Stegostoma tigrinum: one gene and its partner. Each later gene encodes a partner of the first gene's protein in a complex. Links are inferred from orthologs where the notes say so. Each region holds a gene or a part of one and is shown on either strand. Other genes may lie near its edges. The genes, in order: samhd1 and DDB1- and CUL4-associated factor 1-like.

Region 1 (7,152 bases):
TAGTCCAAATCTCCTGCTTTGTTCCAATAGCCCTTGCACATTTTTTTTTAAATCCAAGTAACGATCCAATGTACTGAACCTGCTTTTACCACATTTCCAGGCAGTGGATTCCATACCCTCATGAAGGTCTGTGGAAAATTGTGTTGCTAACTCTTGCTGGCTACATTCCTGCTGGCTTCTTCCCCACACACAATTACCTTAGGAGCTCCTTCAAACACAATGTCCCATGGTCATGGCCACATATTCTTGCCCCCCTACATATACCCCTATTGCTGTAGTCCTCCCATCACTAACTCCATTGAATTCCTACACTGCAGATAAACACCTTTCAGCCCATTGGCTCTGCACTGACCCTCCAAACAGCATCTGTCCCAGACCCACTCCCCCACCCTATCACCATCCACATCCCCATCACCCGACCTTTACTATAGCGAATCTCCCTACCCTGAACACTATGGGGCAGTTTAGCACAGCCAATCCACCTAACCTGGACTGAGTGAAGTAACTAGAGCACCAACAGGAAAACCATGCTTTCAACTCATTAAAGAATGAATAAAAGCAAAATACCGCAGATGCTGGAAATCTGAAATAAACACAGGGAATGCTAGTCAAACTGTGTAGGTCTGGCTGCATCTATGAAGAGAAAGAGTTAATATTTCACTTCTGGTTTCAATTATGCCTCTCTTTCAGACCTGAAATTTGGACTTGGTTACATTAGTGTCATCTGTTATCTGAACTCAGAAGCATTAATAAGTGCAATGCCTGCCATGTTAATCAGGCCTTGGGTGATAGCACTCGTGGCACTTTAACCAGAAGATTATGGTTCAATTGGAACTTCAGAGACCCATGTGTAAAAATCTAGGCTCACATTCCAGTGCAGTACTGAGGGCGTGCTACATACCTGGGAGATGCCATTGTTCGAATAAGACATTAAACCGGCCACATTCTATTGCTCTATCTCCTCATTTAAGGCACTTGTCAAATCTAACTCCCTGTTGGTCGTCTGTCATCTCTTGATCTGGCATGGGGTGAAACTTTGAATCATTTCCTGCAAAACATCTAGGGACATTGGTCGTTTAAAAACACAGGCCTCCAGCCTGACTGATCTGGTTAAATCAAGTTGCACCTTCAAATGGAACCAACTATGGATTGTGACATTTGTCTGTTTTTAACCATTACTGTGCCAATGTGGTGCATTCCTGAAAGTTATTTTAGGAAAGTTTATTGTCCATGGTAATACAGAACTGGAATATTACAGTGAAATGAGCCAAGCTGTCAAACTATTCATCTTGCATTCATCAGGGCAGGATCATGCATGTCTCTTCATCCCGATTACCGCAAGTTGAAAAGTTTTGAAAGACTGTTGGTTGTCAGAAAGTTCTGTATTCTAACATTGCTAGATTACGTTCGAGTATTTTGACATTAACTTTCAGTTCTTTCCAATAGCATTCATGTAGCACCCTTCAAGTCAGAAGAATTCCAAGATGATTCTACAGCGGCAAAATTGGACAAACATCAAATTGAACCAAAGATTAAATTAATTTTTTAAAAAATTAAAAATTAAATATTAAATAAAGATAAATATTAAAAAGAAGCAAAATGCTGCAGATGCTGGAAATCTGAAACAAACTGAGAAGATGCTTAAAAAACTCAGCAGGTCTGGAATTATCAATGGAGAGAAAAGATCATGAGACACAGGAGTAGAATTAGGCCATTCAACCCATTGAACCCATGTTGATCATGGTTGATATGTTTCTTAAATCCATTCTCCTGTCTTCTCCCTGTAACCTTTTATCTCCTTACAAATTAAGAATCAACACATTCAAAGACATGGTCTCCACAGGCTTCTGTAGCAGTGAGTTACATAGACAACCACTTTCTGGCTGAAGAAATTCCTCCTCATCTCAGTTCTAAAAGTTGTCCCATCACTCTGAGGCTGTGCCTTGGGGTCCTAGTCTCACCTATTGGTGGAAACACCTTCTCCACAGCCATTCTATCCAGGCATCTTAGTATTTTGTAAGTTTCAGTGAGTTCATCACCCTTCATCTTTCTAAATTTCATTAAGTACAGACCCTGAGTCCTCAACCATTCCTCATATGACAAGTTTTGAGTTGGTGTGACTCTTCTTCAGAACTATTATAATGTAAAACCAAAATTAAAAATAGGTGACTGAAGACTTTAGCAGAAGTATTACATTCTTAAACCATTTCTTCCCAAATTACAGATTGCAGCAATGAACATAAAGGATGTGCAGTAGGGGGAGGGGATATTTTGAAGCTTATGAAGTCCACATGGAGACCATTGGGTTGCAGGGTTCCTGAGGGGAATATGAGGTGCTGTTCCCTCTAGTCTGTGGGTGGCATTGTTATGGCACTGGAGGAGGCCCAGGATGGACATGTCGTCCAAGGAGTGGGAGGGGGAGTTGAAGTGGTTCACGACTGGGAGGTGTTGTCATTTGTCAGGAACACAGTGTAGGTGTTCCACAAAGCAGTCCCCAAGCCTCCACTTGTTTTTCCCGATGTAAGAGTAGGCCACATCAGGAACAGCGGATACAATATACCACATTAGCAGATGTGCAGGTGAACATCTGTTTAATGTGGAAGCTTTTCTTGGGGCCTGGGACTGAGGTTAGGGGGGAGGTGTAGGGGCAGGTGTAGCAGTTCCTGCAGCTGCAGGGAAAAGTGCCGGGGTGATGGGGCTAGTGGGGAGTGTGGAGCGGACGAGGGAGTGACGGCGAATTCTGTTTGCACACTTTGGCTGACAAATCAGTGGTGTACTGAGAGAACATTGCTCTGTTGAGTTAAGTTGAGACATTAAACTGAGAAAAAAATGGAAAGAATACAGATGCTGGAAATCTGAAACAAATACAGAAATTGCTGGAAAATCACTGACCCAAAATGTTAAGTCTGCTTCTTCCCCATAACAGCTTTTTCCAGCAATGCCTGTTTTTGTTTCCTATTAAACTGAGCTGCAGTTTGCCCGCTCAGGTGGAAAAAGATCGCTTGGCACTACTTCTAAGAACAGCAGGAGAATTACTCCAAGTCTCCTCCTGCCTGCTGTTTATCCCCCTGGGCAATAATACATTGCTGTATGCGAGAGGTTGATGCACTAGTTCACCTGACATACTCCCTAAAGTATAAAAGTGAACAGATTTTAAGGGAGACAATGGCTTAGCGTATTATTGATGGACTATTATTCCAGAAACCCAGGGGATGTTCTGGAAACCTGGGTTTGATACTGCTTTGGCAGATGATGGAATCTGAATTCAGTTTCAAAATAATCTGGAGTTAAGAGTTCAATGATGACCATGAATCCATTGTTGATTGTTGGAAAAACCCTTCTGGTTCACTAATGCCCTTTAGGGAAGGATATCTGCCGACCTTAGATAACAAAGTATTTAGGTGGATGAACACAGCAGGCCAAGCAGCATCTCAGGTTGTGCTCCTGAGATGCTGCTTCGCCTGCTGTGTTCATCCAGCTACACACTTAATTATCTTGGATTCTCCAGCATTTGCAGTTCCCGTTATATCTGCCGACCTTACCTGGTCTGGTCTACATGTGACTTCAGACCCACAGCAATGTGGCTAACTGTTAACTGCCCTCTGGGCAATTAGGGATGAGCAATAAATGCTGCCAAGCCAGTGATGCCCACATCCTGAGAATGAATAAAGGAAAAAATTACTTCAAAAGTAATTGACTGGCTTTACTGTATTCTAGGATGCCCAAAGGATGTGAAAGATGCTTCAGAAATGGAAGTCATTCTTTTCTAATCTCTGGGAAGCTCTGGTTGAAAGAGACTCGGGAACAGTTTTTCAATGGAGAATTCAGAAAAAGCTTGAAAACTTATAAGAACATGGAGGAAGAGAGGCCAATTTGAGGTGTGCCTAATCTTAATAACGTAACGAGGAGTACTGCAGAAGGCAATAAGTGCAAATCACCTGCCCAGTCCTGTTAGAATTTTCTCGGCTTCTAACCATTGAGTCTGCATGATCTGATGCTCGGCGATATGTTGGTAACAGGGAGCACCGCCGCTTTAACTGGGGGTGGGAAGTGGGTTTGATTGTCAGTGGGAATGGCTATGCTGAAGCCCCAATGAGCGGTCAGGGGCGAGCTTCTTCCGGGTTTGGCATTCATTCAGCGGTGAGGGACAGTCTCAGTGAGCCCGGCAGCAGCTCAGAGAGAGAGCGCCCAGTACACAGCAACCTAGCAGCATTGTGGAGACCGGGGAAAATGAATCAAAATGAGAACCGAAAGAGGCCGAGAGCCGCTGAGACAGACATCCACCCGGTGACCCCGGCCAAAAGAGTGGCCCTATTCAGGTTAAAACCCGATTACCGACACTGGGACGTGGACGATGTCTGCTGTTTTCTGCAGACACATGGATTTGAAAAGTTCGAGCAGTTGTTCAGGGGTGAGTGTGCAATCTTTGGACGGTGCATAGCCGAAGGAGTTCCTTCGACGCAGTGTGCCGGTTTTTTGATTGAGCTCTCCGAAGCCCCTCTCCCTCCTTCTTAACCCTCTCCGTAGTTTGACCCACCCCTCTCTTGCAAGAGCAATTTGCAGGCAGGAAGACAGGATATACTTCCTCTTAGAATTACCTCATCCCTTTGCTATTTCATTTCGTTGAACTAAATACGTCCGAATGTTGTCTATTAATAATGTTGTAGATCTTGTTTTGAAAGGATCCCTGCCGAGTCAGATTTACGAGAATGTTGCGAGGGTTTGGAGGGTTTGAGCTATGGAGAGAGGCTGAATACACTGGGACTATTTTCCCTGGAGCGTCCGATGCTGAAGGGTGACCTTGCAGGAGTTTATAAAGTCATGCGGTGCATGGATAGGGTGAATAGCTAAGGTCTCTTTCCCCCAGAGTAGGGGACCCCAAAACTAAAGGGCACTGTTTTAAGGTGAGATGGGGAAGTTACATTTAAAAGGCACCTGGATGGGTATATGAACATCAAGGGCTTAGATGGATATGGGTCAGTTGCTGACAAATGGAACTAGATTAGTGTAGAATATCTGCTAAGCATGGCTGGGTCACACCAGTTAGGACTGTTTCTGTGCTGTACCACTGTATGACTTAATGCTGGAAGATTGTCGGGATCATTTGAAGTCTTTCACCAGTCCACATCAGCATTCTGTTTAGATGTGGAATATTAGAAGCATTTTGGCTGTGCTTGTGTATTCTTATTTGGGCATCACCATTCTCTGATGCATGTGGTATACATCTCTTTGGGAGTTCTCATTACTGAACTACTGTTTCTCTAGTGGGAGTTAGGTGGAAATTCCACTCAGGTGTTCTTAAGATCTCTGACAAAGCACAGAGGGGAATAAAAGTGAGGACTTTCAGCTCTTGAGTTGCACCTGCAGTCATGCATTTAGATGGCGAGACCATAAAACTGAGATGAGCAGAATAGGCTGTTTGGCCCATTGAGTCTACGCTGTCATTCAGTAGGATTGTTGCTGATTTGATAATCCTCAATTCCACTTTCCTGTCTTTTTTTCCTCTCACCCTTGATTCCTTTCCAGATTTAAATCTGTCAATATCAGTCTTTGTACGCACTTAACAGCAGTGTTCCCTCTAATTCTTTCCCCCACTACGTGGATTTCTGAGGTCTGATCAGGCAGAAGCCTGTGTTGTGGAACTTCCTGGTATCTGTGTAATTGAATGCCTTGGAGGGAACATTGCTCAGCAATCCATCCTTGACAGTTCTCTGTGGTAAGGAATTCCACAAGTTCACTCCCTCTGAGAGAAGAAATTCCTCCTCTGTCTTGGATGGGTGACCCCTTTTTAATATGAGATTATGCTGTCTGCTCCTAGACTCTGTCACAAGGCGAAACACCTTCTGAGTCGACCTTTTCAAATGCGAGAAGAACCTTGTCTGTTTCAAAAATGTCACCTTGCATTGTTCAAAACACCAATAAGGAAGTAGGCTGTTGCAATATTGATCATATTACATCTTTGATTTTAGAGTAAAATAGAGAAAGGAGGGAGGGACGTGATTTTTCTTAACCTTAAGTAGAAATGGACACTAATTGCACACATTGCAATGGGCTGAGCTATTAATTGGTAAACATAAAAGCAAAATAAAATATTTGTCATGCCCTCCGTTCACTGTAGCTTTAAAATTGTTCCCCACGCTACTTTCCAATATGAGCCTGTTTTGAGACTTGAAAATTGACAAAAGGTAATAAAGCAGCTTAATAATGCTGTGTATATAAATACTTATTGAAATTTGGGTATTATTGATCAAATATGTAATATAAGTATAAGTTTTGAGAATTCCATAGCCTTGCTGATCATATTGCCGCTGCCAGCTAAAACTGCATCTACGATCCCTGTGGGTAACATGACCCACTGTTTGCAAACTTCTGCTATAAAAACACAATTGTGTACTTAAGACACCAGACAAGGTAAAAGATAGTGCCGCACTGATAGAGGCTTACACAAATTCTATTAATATGTAAATAAATGATCAAACAATGGGAAGTATTTCCACAGGCATTAGGTTCAGTAAAATTGCACACTAGAGGCTAATGGCTCAATTTTTTCGACAACAGAAACTATAGTAAGAAAATAAAGAGCTAGTCTCAAGTTACTAGAAAATACTGACATGAATGCAAGGCAAAGGAGATTGGAAGAGCTATTAAACACAATAGAAAGAGAAAGTAAGCAACAAAGTGGGTGGGAAAATGGGGAAAAGTGCTCTGTCCAGTTTTTTTTAAATCAATGAACTAATGGAAAGGGAATGTGAACTTATTTGAAAACAGTTGAGGATAAGATTATAATACAAAGTAGGACAGAGGGAGACATGATAAGTGGGTTTTTAAAATCTTTTTCACATTGGAAGAAGGGGCTAAAGTAACCTTGGTGCAAAAGAGCCTAAGAGTAAGTCAAGGGGAAGGGTTTTGTGGATTCGTCATAAGCTTGGAAAGATTGGTAGTGGAATAAACTTTGTTGGCCTGCCAGAATAATAAAAGCCATTGATAATGGGAACTGCAGATGCTGGAGAATCCAAGATAATAAAATGTGAGGCTGGATGAACGCAGCAGGCCAAGCAGCATCTCAGGAGCACAAAAGCTGACGTTTCGGGCCTAGACCCTTCATCAGAGAGGGGGATGGGGAGAGGGTTCTGGAATAAATAGGGAGAGAGG
Region 2 (8,107 bases), on another chromosome or scaffold:
GCCCTCCACATGGCATGGAACCATTCCACTATATCTTCACTGTCACTGCATCAGAATTCTGCAAGTCTGTCTCTAGTTGCAGTGTGGATCTACCCACATCATGTAAACTGCAACTGGTCAAGAAGACGGTCCTCCACCCAATTTAGAACATAGAACATAGAACATAGAACAGTACAGCACAGAACAGGCCCTTCAGCCCACGATGTCGTGCCGACCATTGATCCTCATGTATGCACCCTCAAATTTCTGTGACCATATGCATGTCCAGCAGTCTCTTAACTGACCCCAATGACCTTGCTTCCACAACTGCTGCTGGCAACGCATTCCATGCTCTCACAACTCTCTGTGTAAAGAACCCACCTCTGAATCCCCTCTATGCTTTCCTCCAACCAGCTTAAAACTATGACCCCTCGTGTTAGCCATTTCTGCCCTGGGAAATAGTCTCTGGCTATGAACTAACTCTATCTATGCCTCTCATTATCTTGTATACCTCAATTAGGTCCCCTCTCCTCCTCCTTTTCTCCAATGAAAAAATTCCGAGCTCAGTCAACCTCTCTTCATGAGATAAGCCCTCCAATCCAGGCAGCATCCTGGTAAACCTCCTCTGAACCCTCTCCAAAGCATCCACATCTTTCCTATAATAGGGTGATCAGAACTGGACGCAGTATTCCAAGTGCGGTCTAACCAAAGTTTTATAGAGCTGCAACAAGATCTCACGACTCTTAAACTCAATCCCCCTGTTAATGAAAGCCAAAACACCATATGCTTTCTTAACAACCCTGTCCAATTGGGTGGCCATTTTAAGGGATCTATGTATCTGCACACCAAGATCCCTCTGTTCCTCCAAACTGCCAAGAATCCTATCCTTAATCCTGTACTCAGCTTTCAAATTCGACCTTCAAAAATGCATCACCTCGCATTTATCCAGGTTGAACTCCATCTGCCACCTCTCAGCCCATCTCTGCATCCTGTCAATGTCCCGCTGCAGCCTACAACAGCCCTCTATACTGTCAATGACACCTCCAACCTTTGTGTCATCTGCAAATTTGCTGACCCATCCTTCAATTCCCTCATCCAAGTCGTTAATAAAAATTACGAACAGTAGAGGCCCAAGGACAGAGCCCTGTGGAACACCACTCACCACTGACTTCCAGGCAGAATATTTTCCTTCTACTACCACTCGCTGTCTTCTGTTGGCCAGCCAATTCTGTATCCAGACAGCTAAGTTCCCCTGTATCCCATTCCTCCTGACCTTCTGAATGACCCTACCATGGGGAACCTTATCAAATGCCTTGCTGAAGTCCATATACACCACATCCACAGCTCGACCCTCATCAACCTTTCTAGTCACATCCTCAAAAAACTCGATAAGGTTTGTGAGGCATGACCTGCCCCTCACAAAGCCGTGTTGACTGCATTTAATCAAGCCATGCTCTTCCAGATAGTCATAAATCCTATCCCTCAGAATCCTTTCTAACACCTTGCAGACGACAGACGTGAGACTTACTGGTCTGTAATTGCCGGGGATTTCCCTATTTCCTTTCTTGAAGAGAGGAATTACATTTGCCTCTCTCCAGTCCTCAGATACGACTCCAGTGGAGAGCGAGGATGCAAAGATCTTCGCAAGTGGCAAAGCAATTGCATTTCTCATTTCCCAAAGCAGCCAAGGACAAATCTGGTCCAGGCCTGGCGAATTGTCAATCTTAATGTTTGACAAAATTTTCAGCACATCAGCTTCCTCTATCTCTATCCATTCCAGCATGCACACCTGCTCTTCAAAGGTTTCATTCACTACAAAGTTCGTTTCTTTCGTAAAGACAGAAGCAAAAAACTCATTTAGGGCTTCCCCTACCTCCTCAGACTCCACACACAAGTTCCCTATGCTATCCCTGATCGGCCCTACTCTTTCTTTGACCATTCTCTTATTCCTCACGTAAGTGTAAAATGCCTTTGTGTTCTCCCTAATCCGTTCTGCCAAGCCTTTCTCGTGCCCCCTCCTGGCTCTCCTCAGACCATTTTTGAGCTCCTTCCTTGTCTGCCTGTAATCCTCTAGAGCTTCCTCCACCTTATGTAAGCTACCTTCTTCCTTTTGATGAGAAGCTCCACCGCTCTCGTCATCCAAGGTTCCTTCCTCTTACCCCTTCTTGCCTGTCTCAGAGGACATATTTATTCATCACTCGCAACAACTGTTCCTTAAACAGTCTCCACATGTCTATAGTGCCTTTACCATGGAACAATTGCTCCCAGTCCATGCTTCCTAACTCATGTCTAATCGCATCATAGTTTCCTCTTCCACAACTAAATATCCTCCCATTTTGCCTAATCCTCTCCTTCTCCATAGCTATGTAGAATGTGAGGCAGTTATGGTCACTATCACCAAAATGCTCTCCCACCACAAGATCTGATACCTGCCTCAGCTCGTTTCCGAACACCGAGTCTAGAATGCCCTCTCCCCTCGTCGGCCTGTCAACGTACTGAGTTAGGAAACCCTCCTGAACACACCTTACAAAAACAGCTCCATTCAAATCTTCTGCTCGAAGGAGGTTCCAATCAATATTGGGAAAGTTAAAGTCACCCATTACAACAACCCTACTACGTCCACACTTTTCCAAATCTGCCGACCTATGCTTTCTTCAATCTCCCTGCTGCTGTTGGGAGGCCTTTAGTAAACCCCTAACGAGGTGACTACTCCCTTGCTGTTCCTAATTTCCACCCATACTGACTCGGTACGCAGATCTTCCTCGACAAAGGAAGCTTCTGTAGCTGTGGTACCCTCTCTGGTTAGTAGTGTTACACCTCCTCCTCTTTTTCCCCCTCCCTATTCTTTTTAAATGCTCTAAACCCTGGAACATTCAGCAACCATTCCTGCCCCTGAGAAACCCATGTCTCTGTTATGGCCACAACATCATAGCACCAGGTACTGATCCATGCTCTAAGTTCATCACTTTTATTCCTGATACTCCTTGCGTTAAAGCAAACACACTTTAACCGATCCCTTGGTTCCTTCCCAGGAAAATCCTTCCCACTAGCTGGTCTACCTCTTGCTATTGCCTCACCTGCATCAACTCTCACCTCCGGGAGACAGCTCAGGTTCCCACCCCCCTGCCATACTCGTTTAAACCCTCTCGAACTACTCGAGCAAACCTTCCACCCAGGATATTGGTCCCCTTCCAGTTCAGATGCAACCCATCCGTCTTGTACAGGTCCCACCTTCCCCAGAAGGCATCCCAATTATCTACATATCCGAAGCCCTCCCTCCTACACCAGCTGCGCAGCCACGTGTTAAGCTGCGCCCGCTCCCTGTTCCTCGCCTCGCTATCTCGTGGCACCGGTAATAAACTAAAGAACACTACTCTGTTCGTCCTGCTTTGCAGCTTCCATCCTAACTCCCTGAAATCACTTTTTATATCCTCAATCCTTTTTCTGGCTATATCATTAGTGCCAATATGTAACACGATTTCTGGCTGTTCGCCCTCCCCTTTTAGAACCTTATACACCCGATCGGAGACGTGCCGGACCCTGGCACCAGGGAGGCAACATACCTTCTGGGAATCCAGATCCTGACCACAAAATCTCCTGTCGATTCCCCTAACTATCGAGTCCCCTACCACGAGTACTTTTCTATTCTGCCCCCTTCCCTTCTTTGCCACAGTGTCAGGCTCAGTGCCAGAGAACTGACTACTATGGTAGGTCATCCCCCCCCAGCAGTATCCAAAGCGGTATACTTATTGCTGAGGGGAATGCCCACAGGGGATCTCTGCACTGTCTGTCTGTCCCCTTTCTTCCCCCTAACTGTAACCCATCTATCCTTGTCCTGAGCCTTAGGAGTGACCAACTCCCGGTAACTCCTCTCAATTACCCCCTCTGCCTCCCGAATGATCCGTAGTTCAAAAAGCTCCAGCTCCATTTCCCTAACACAGTTTTCAAGGAGCTGGAGTCGGGTGCACTGCCCGCAGATGTGGCCAGTGGAGACGTGTGCCATGTCTCCCAGCTGCCACATTCTGCAGGAGGAGCAAGCAACTGCCCTAGCATCCATACCCCACTTATCTGAACACCCACTCAGTACTAAAGTAGAAAGCTTAGTTCAAGTTGCTATAAAATTAATAACAAACTTAAGGCAATTAGGGATGATTAATGCTGGTCACTCCAACCCATTGCTACCAACTGTAATTGCTACAAATGCATCTTCTGTAGGACTGGAAACTATGCTGTTTCAGGTACAGATGGAAAACATAAGCCAGTTTACAGCACTTGCCCTTCACTGCCAGACACCTAAAAGTGATATCCATTATGGGAAAATGAAGCATGAATGATATACTAGCGATATACAAGCAGCCTCAATAAAAAAGTAATGAATTGTCACATTATCTTCTCACAGCCTCCAGGCCAGATAAAGCCTCAATGTGTTTCTTAGATAAAATTAATGTTTAGTTAAACTCAACATACTTTGCAGTACAGGACTAAAAACATTATGATTACCAACCAGTCTGTTTTTAATTAATGATTTTCATTTTTCTGCATTTTGATTGCAGTTGGCTGGCGACAAATATTGGTTTCACTTGGAATGGAGCCAGACAATCTTTTTAAGGCGCCTTGAAAGGGCGGGGAAGGCATGACCTCGCATTGAAAGGGACTAGCTCCAAGCCTGCAAGGCTCCTAACCCTAAACCCTTTCTAACACAATTGAAAGACAACAACGAGCGCCATGTGGCAAATTCAGATTGCAAACAGGAATTGGCACAGGGATAGCGTACTTACCACCTCTGAAGGACTGGGTTCAACTGCCACTTGCTTCTGAAGTTTTCCAAACAGGTTGGTTACATACCTACAGTGAAGAAAGAATAAAATTCGGCTGAACTACAGCCAAAGTTGTAAATTCTGCTACTTTTTAAAAATAAAGCCGGTGCACACACATCTGCAGCAAATACGGTCTCCTGGTCCACAAGTAAGGACCATACCACTGCGCGTACGATGCTCCACGCCACGTCGGGAAACGACGATGCTACGCAGGCGCAGTGATGTCCAAACGCCTGGACTACAAGCCCCAGAATGCCGAGCGGCCACACGCAGCAACGAACTGACGTCACAGCCGCCATCACTGGGAGCGTGGAGCCTAGGGCCTGACGCTGATACAGACCGAGCTCATCGCTGCTAGACAGCCAGGTCAGTGGGAACCCGCCCGGGGATCGCTACTATCGTAGTCTCCGGCGGTGCAGCAGGGCAGCCAAACGGTAGCCCCCACACCCTCTCGGCTCGCGGGGAGGCGGAGCGAGGCCTCACCGTAAGCGGGGGGAGAGGGGAAGCCGCAGCCGGCCGTGGTTGAGGCCCCGGGCCCACACGTGAGGAGGTGGAGGGGGGGGGAACCGGAGCGGTCCGCGAGGGAGAGGAAACTACAACAAGAACAGAGAGTTGGAGGGAAAAAGTGGGGAGAGACTGGAAGGAGGACAGGATCCGGAGGAGGACGGGGTTGGGGAAGCAGTGTGGCTTGAAGAGGATGACGGGGGACGTGGGACCGGGGTGGGGAGGTGTGCAACGATGGGGACGTGGGGCTTAGGGGGGGGTCAACGATGGGGACGTGGGGCTTGAGGTGGGGGGTGTGCAACGATGGGGACGTGGGACTTGGGCGGGGGGGGTTGCAACGATGGGGACGTGGGACTTGGGCGGGGGGGGTTGCAACGATGGGGACGTGGGACTTGGGCGGGGGGGGTTGCAACGATGGGGACGTGGGACTTGGGCGGGGGGGGTTGCAACGATGGGGACGTGGGACTTGGGCGGGGGGGGTTGCAACGATGGGGACGTGGGACTTGGGCGGGGGGGGTTGCAACGATGGGGACGTGGGACTTGGGCGGGGGGGGTTGCAACGATGGGGACGTGGGGCGGGGGGGGTTGCAACGATGGGGACGTGGGGCGGGGGGGGTTGCAACGATGGGGACGTGGGGCGGGGGGGGTTGCAACGATGGGGACGTGGGACTTGGGCGGGGGGGGGTTGCAACGATGGGGACTTGGGCGGGGGGGGTTGCAACGATGGGGACTTGGGCGGGGGGGGTTGCAACGATGGGGACGTGGGACTTGGGCGGGGGGGGTTGCAACGATGGGGACGTGGGACTTGGGCGGGGGGGGTTGCAACGATGGGGACGTGGGACTTGGGCGGGGGGGGTTGCAACGATGGGGACGTGGGACTTGGGCGGGGGGGTTGCAACGATGGGGACGTGGGACTTGGGCGGGGGGGGTTGCAACGATGGGGACGTGGGACTTGGGCGGGGGGGGTTGCAACGATGGGGACGTGGGACTTGGGCGGGGGGGGTTGCAACGATGGGGACGTGGGGCGGGGGGGGTTGCAACGATGGGGACGTGGGACTTGGGCGGGGGGGGGTTGCAACGATGGGGACGTGGGGCGGGGGGGGTTGCAACGATGGGGACGTGGGGCGGGGGGGGTTGCAACGATGGGGACGTGGGGCGGGGGGGTTGCAACGGTGGGGCGGGGGGGGTTGCAACGATGGGGACGTGGGGCGGGGGGGGTTGCAACGATGGGGACGTGGGGCGGGGGGGGTTGCAACGATGGGGACGTGGGACGGGGGGGAGCAACGATGGGGACGGGGGACGTGGGACGTGGGGGGGGAGCAACGATGGGGACGGGGGACGTGGGACGTGGGGGGGGGGTGCAACGATGGGGACGTGGAACGGGGGGGTGCAACGATGGGGACGTGGGACGTGGGGGGGGTGCAACGATGGGGACGTGGGGGGGGTGCAATGACGGGGGGGTGCAACGACGGGGACGTGGGGGGGGTGCAACGATGGGGACGTGGGGGGGGTGCAACGACGGGGACGTGGGGGGGGTGCAACGACGGGGACGTGGGACGTGGGGGGGTGCAACGACGGGGACGTGGAGGGGGTGCAACGACGGGGACGTGGGACGTGGGGGGGTGCAACGACGGGGACGTGGAGGGGGTGCAACGACGGGGACGTGGGACTTTCGGGGGGGGTGCAACGACGGGGACGTGGGACTTTCGGGGGGGTGCAACGACGGGGACGTGGGACTTTCGGGGGGGTGCAACGACGGGGACGTGGGACTTTCGGGGGGGTGCAACGACGGGGACGTGGGACTTTCGGGGGGGTGCAACGACGGGGACGTGGGACTTTCGGGGGGGTGCAACGACGGGGACGTGGGACTTTCGGGGGGGTGCAACGACGGGGACGTGGGACTTTCGGGGGGGTGCAACGACGGGGACGTGGGACTTTCGGGGGGGTGCAACGACGGGGACGTGGGACTTTCGGGGGTGGGGTGCAACGACGGGGACGTGGGACTTGGGGTGGGGTGCAACGACGGGGACGTGGGACTTGGCAGGGGGGTGCAACGACGGGGACGTGGGACTTGGCGGGGGGGTGCAACGACTGGGACTTGGGGTGGGGTGCAACGACGGGGACGTGGGACTTGGGGGGGGTGGGGTGTGTGCAACGACAGGGACGAGGGACTGGGTGGGGGGTGCAACGACGGGGGCGAGGGACTGGGTGGGGGGGGTGTGCAGGGACGAGGAACTGCGTGGGGGGAGGTTGCAGCGACGGGGACGAGGGTCTGCGTGGGGGGTGGATTTCAGCGACGGGGACGAGGGTCTGCGTGGGGGGGGCAGAGACGGGGACGAGGGTCTGCGTGGGGTGTGCAGAGATGGGGACGAGGGACTGTGTCGGGGTGGCAGAGTTGGTGACGAGGGACTGTGTGGGGAAGTGGGCCTGCAGAAGCACTTGAGGAATGGGGTGCTGAGTCTGCCTCTTCGCAGACTCATTCCTCCAAAGAGGTGGGTGAAGAGTCTCGGGTGATGAGACCAGAGGTGGTTGGGGGGAAGAGAAAGCAAGTGTGGAGAGTGAGGGAGGAGAGAAGAGGCCTACTGAGGTCAGGATGGAAAAGACTGCTGTTTCAGTCTCATCCTCGATTAAATAAGTACTTCAGTCTACCCTGTAGAACAAAATAATATTTCAAATAAAAATGGCAAGCAAAGAAGGCCCAATTGTCTTCAGTGCAATTTGTTTGTCATCTTGTCTTGCAATAAATATTGAGTTTATTTCCTCCCAACCGTTTTTTTAAAGGAATATTGTTGAGATGCTTTGAGCTG

The links.
Region 2: the proteins of samhd1 (region 1) and DDB1- and CUL4-associated factor 1-like are in contact, whole or in part, in a crystal structure (PDB 4CC9), measured with the Homo sapiens proteins. The link is inferred for Stegostoma tigrinum from reciprocal best matches to the Homo sapiens genes SAMHD1 and DCAF1. Residues at the interface, in NP_056289.2 of Homo sapiens: Ser616, Arg617, Val618, Gln619, Lys622; in NP_001336097.1 of Homo sapiens: Asn1090, Glu1091, Asp1092, Thr1114, Gln1116, Asn1132.

The regions. Positions count from the first base shown.
Region 1 is NC_081372.1:11,096,048-11,103,199, reverse strand, and holds the start of samhd1 (deoxynucleoside triphosphate triphosphohydrolase SAMHD1), read left to right. Parts: upstream 1-4,136; 5' UTR 4,137-4,230; coding exon 4,231-4,411; intron 4,412-7,152.
Region 2 is NC_081364.1:62,918,428-62,926,534, forward strand, and holds the start of DDB1- and CUL4-associated factor 1-like, read left to right. Parts: upstream 1-5,084; 5' UTR 5,085-5,162; intron 5,163-8,107. UniProt on the Homo sapiens protein: Acts both as a substrate recognition component of E3 ubiquitin-protein ligase complexes and as an atypical serine/threonine-protein kinase, playing key roles in various processes such as cell cycle, telomerase regulation and histone modification.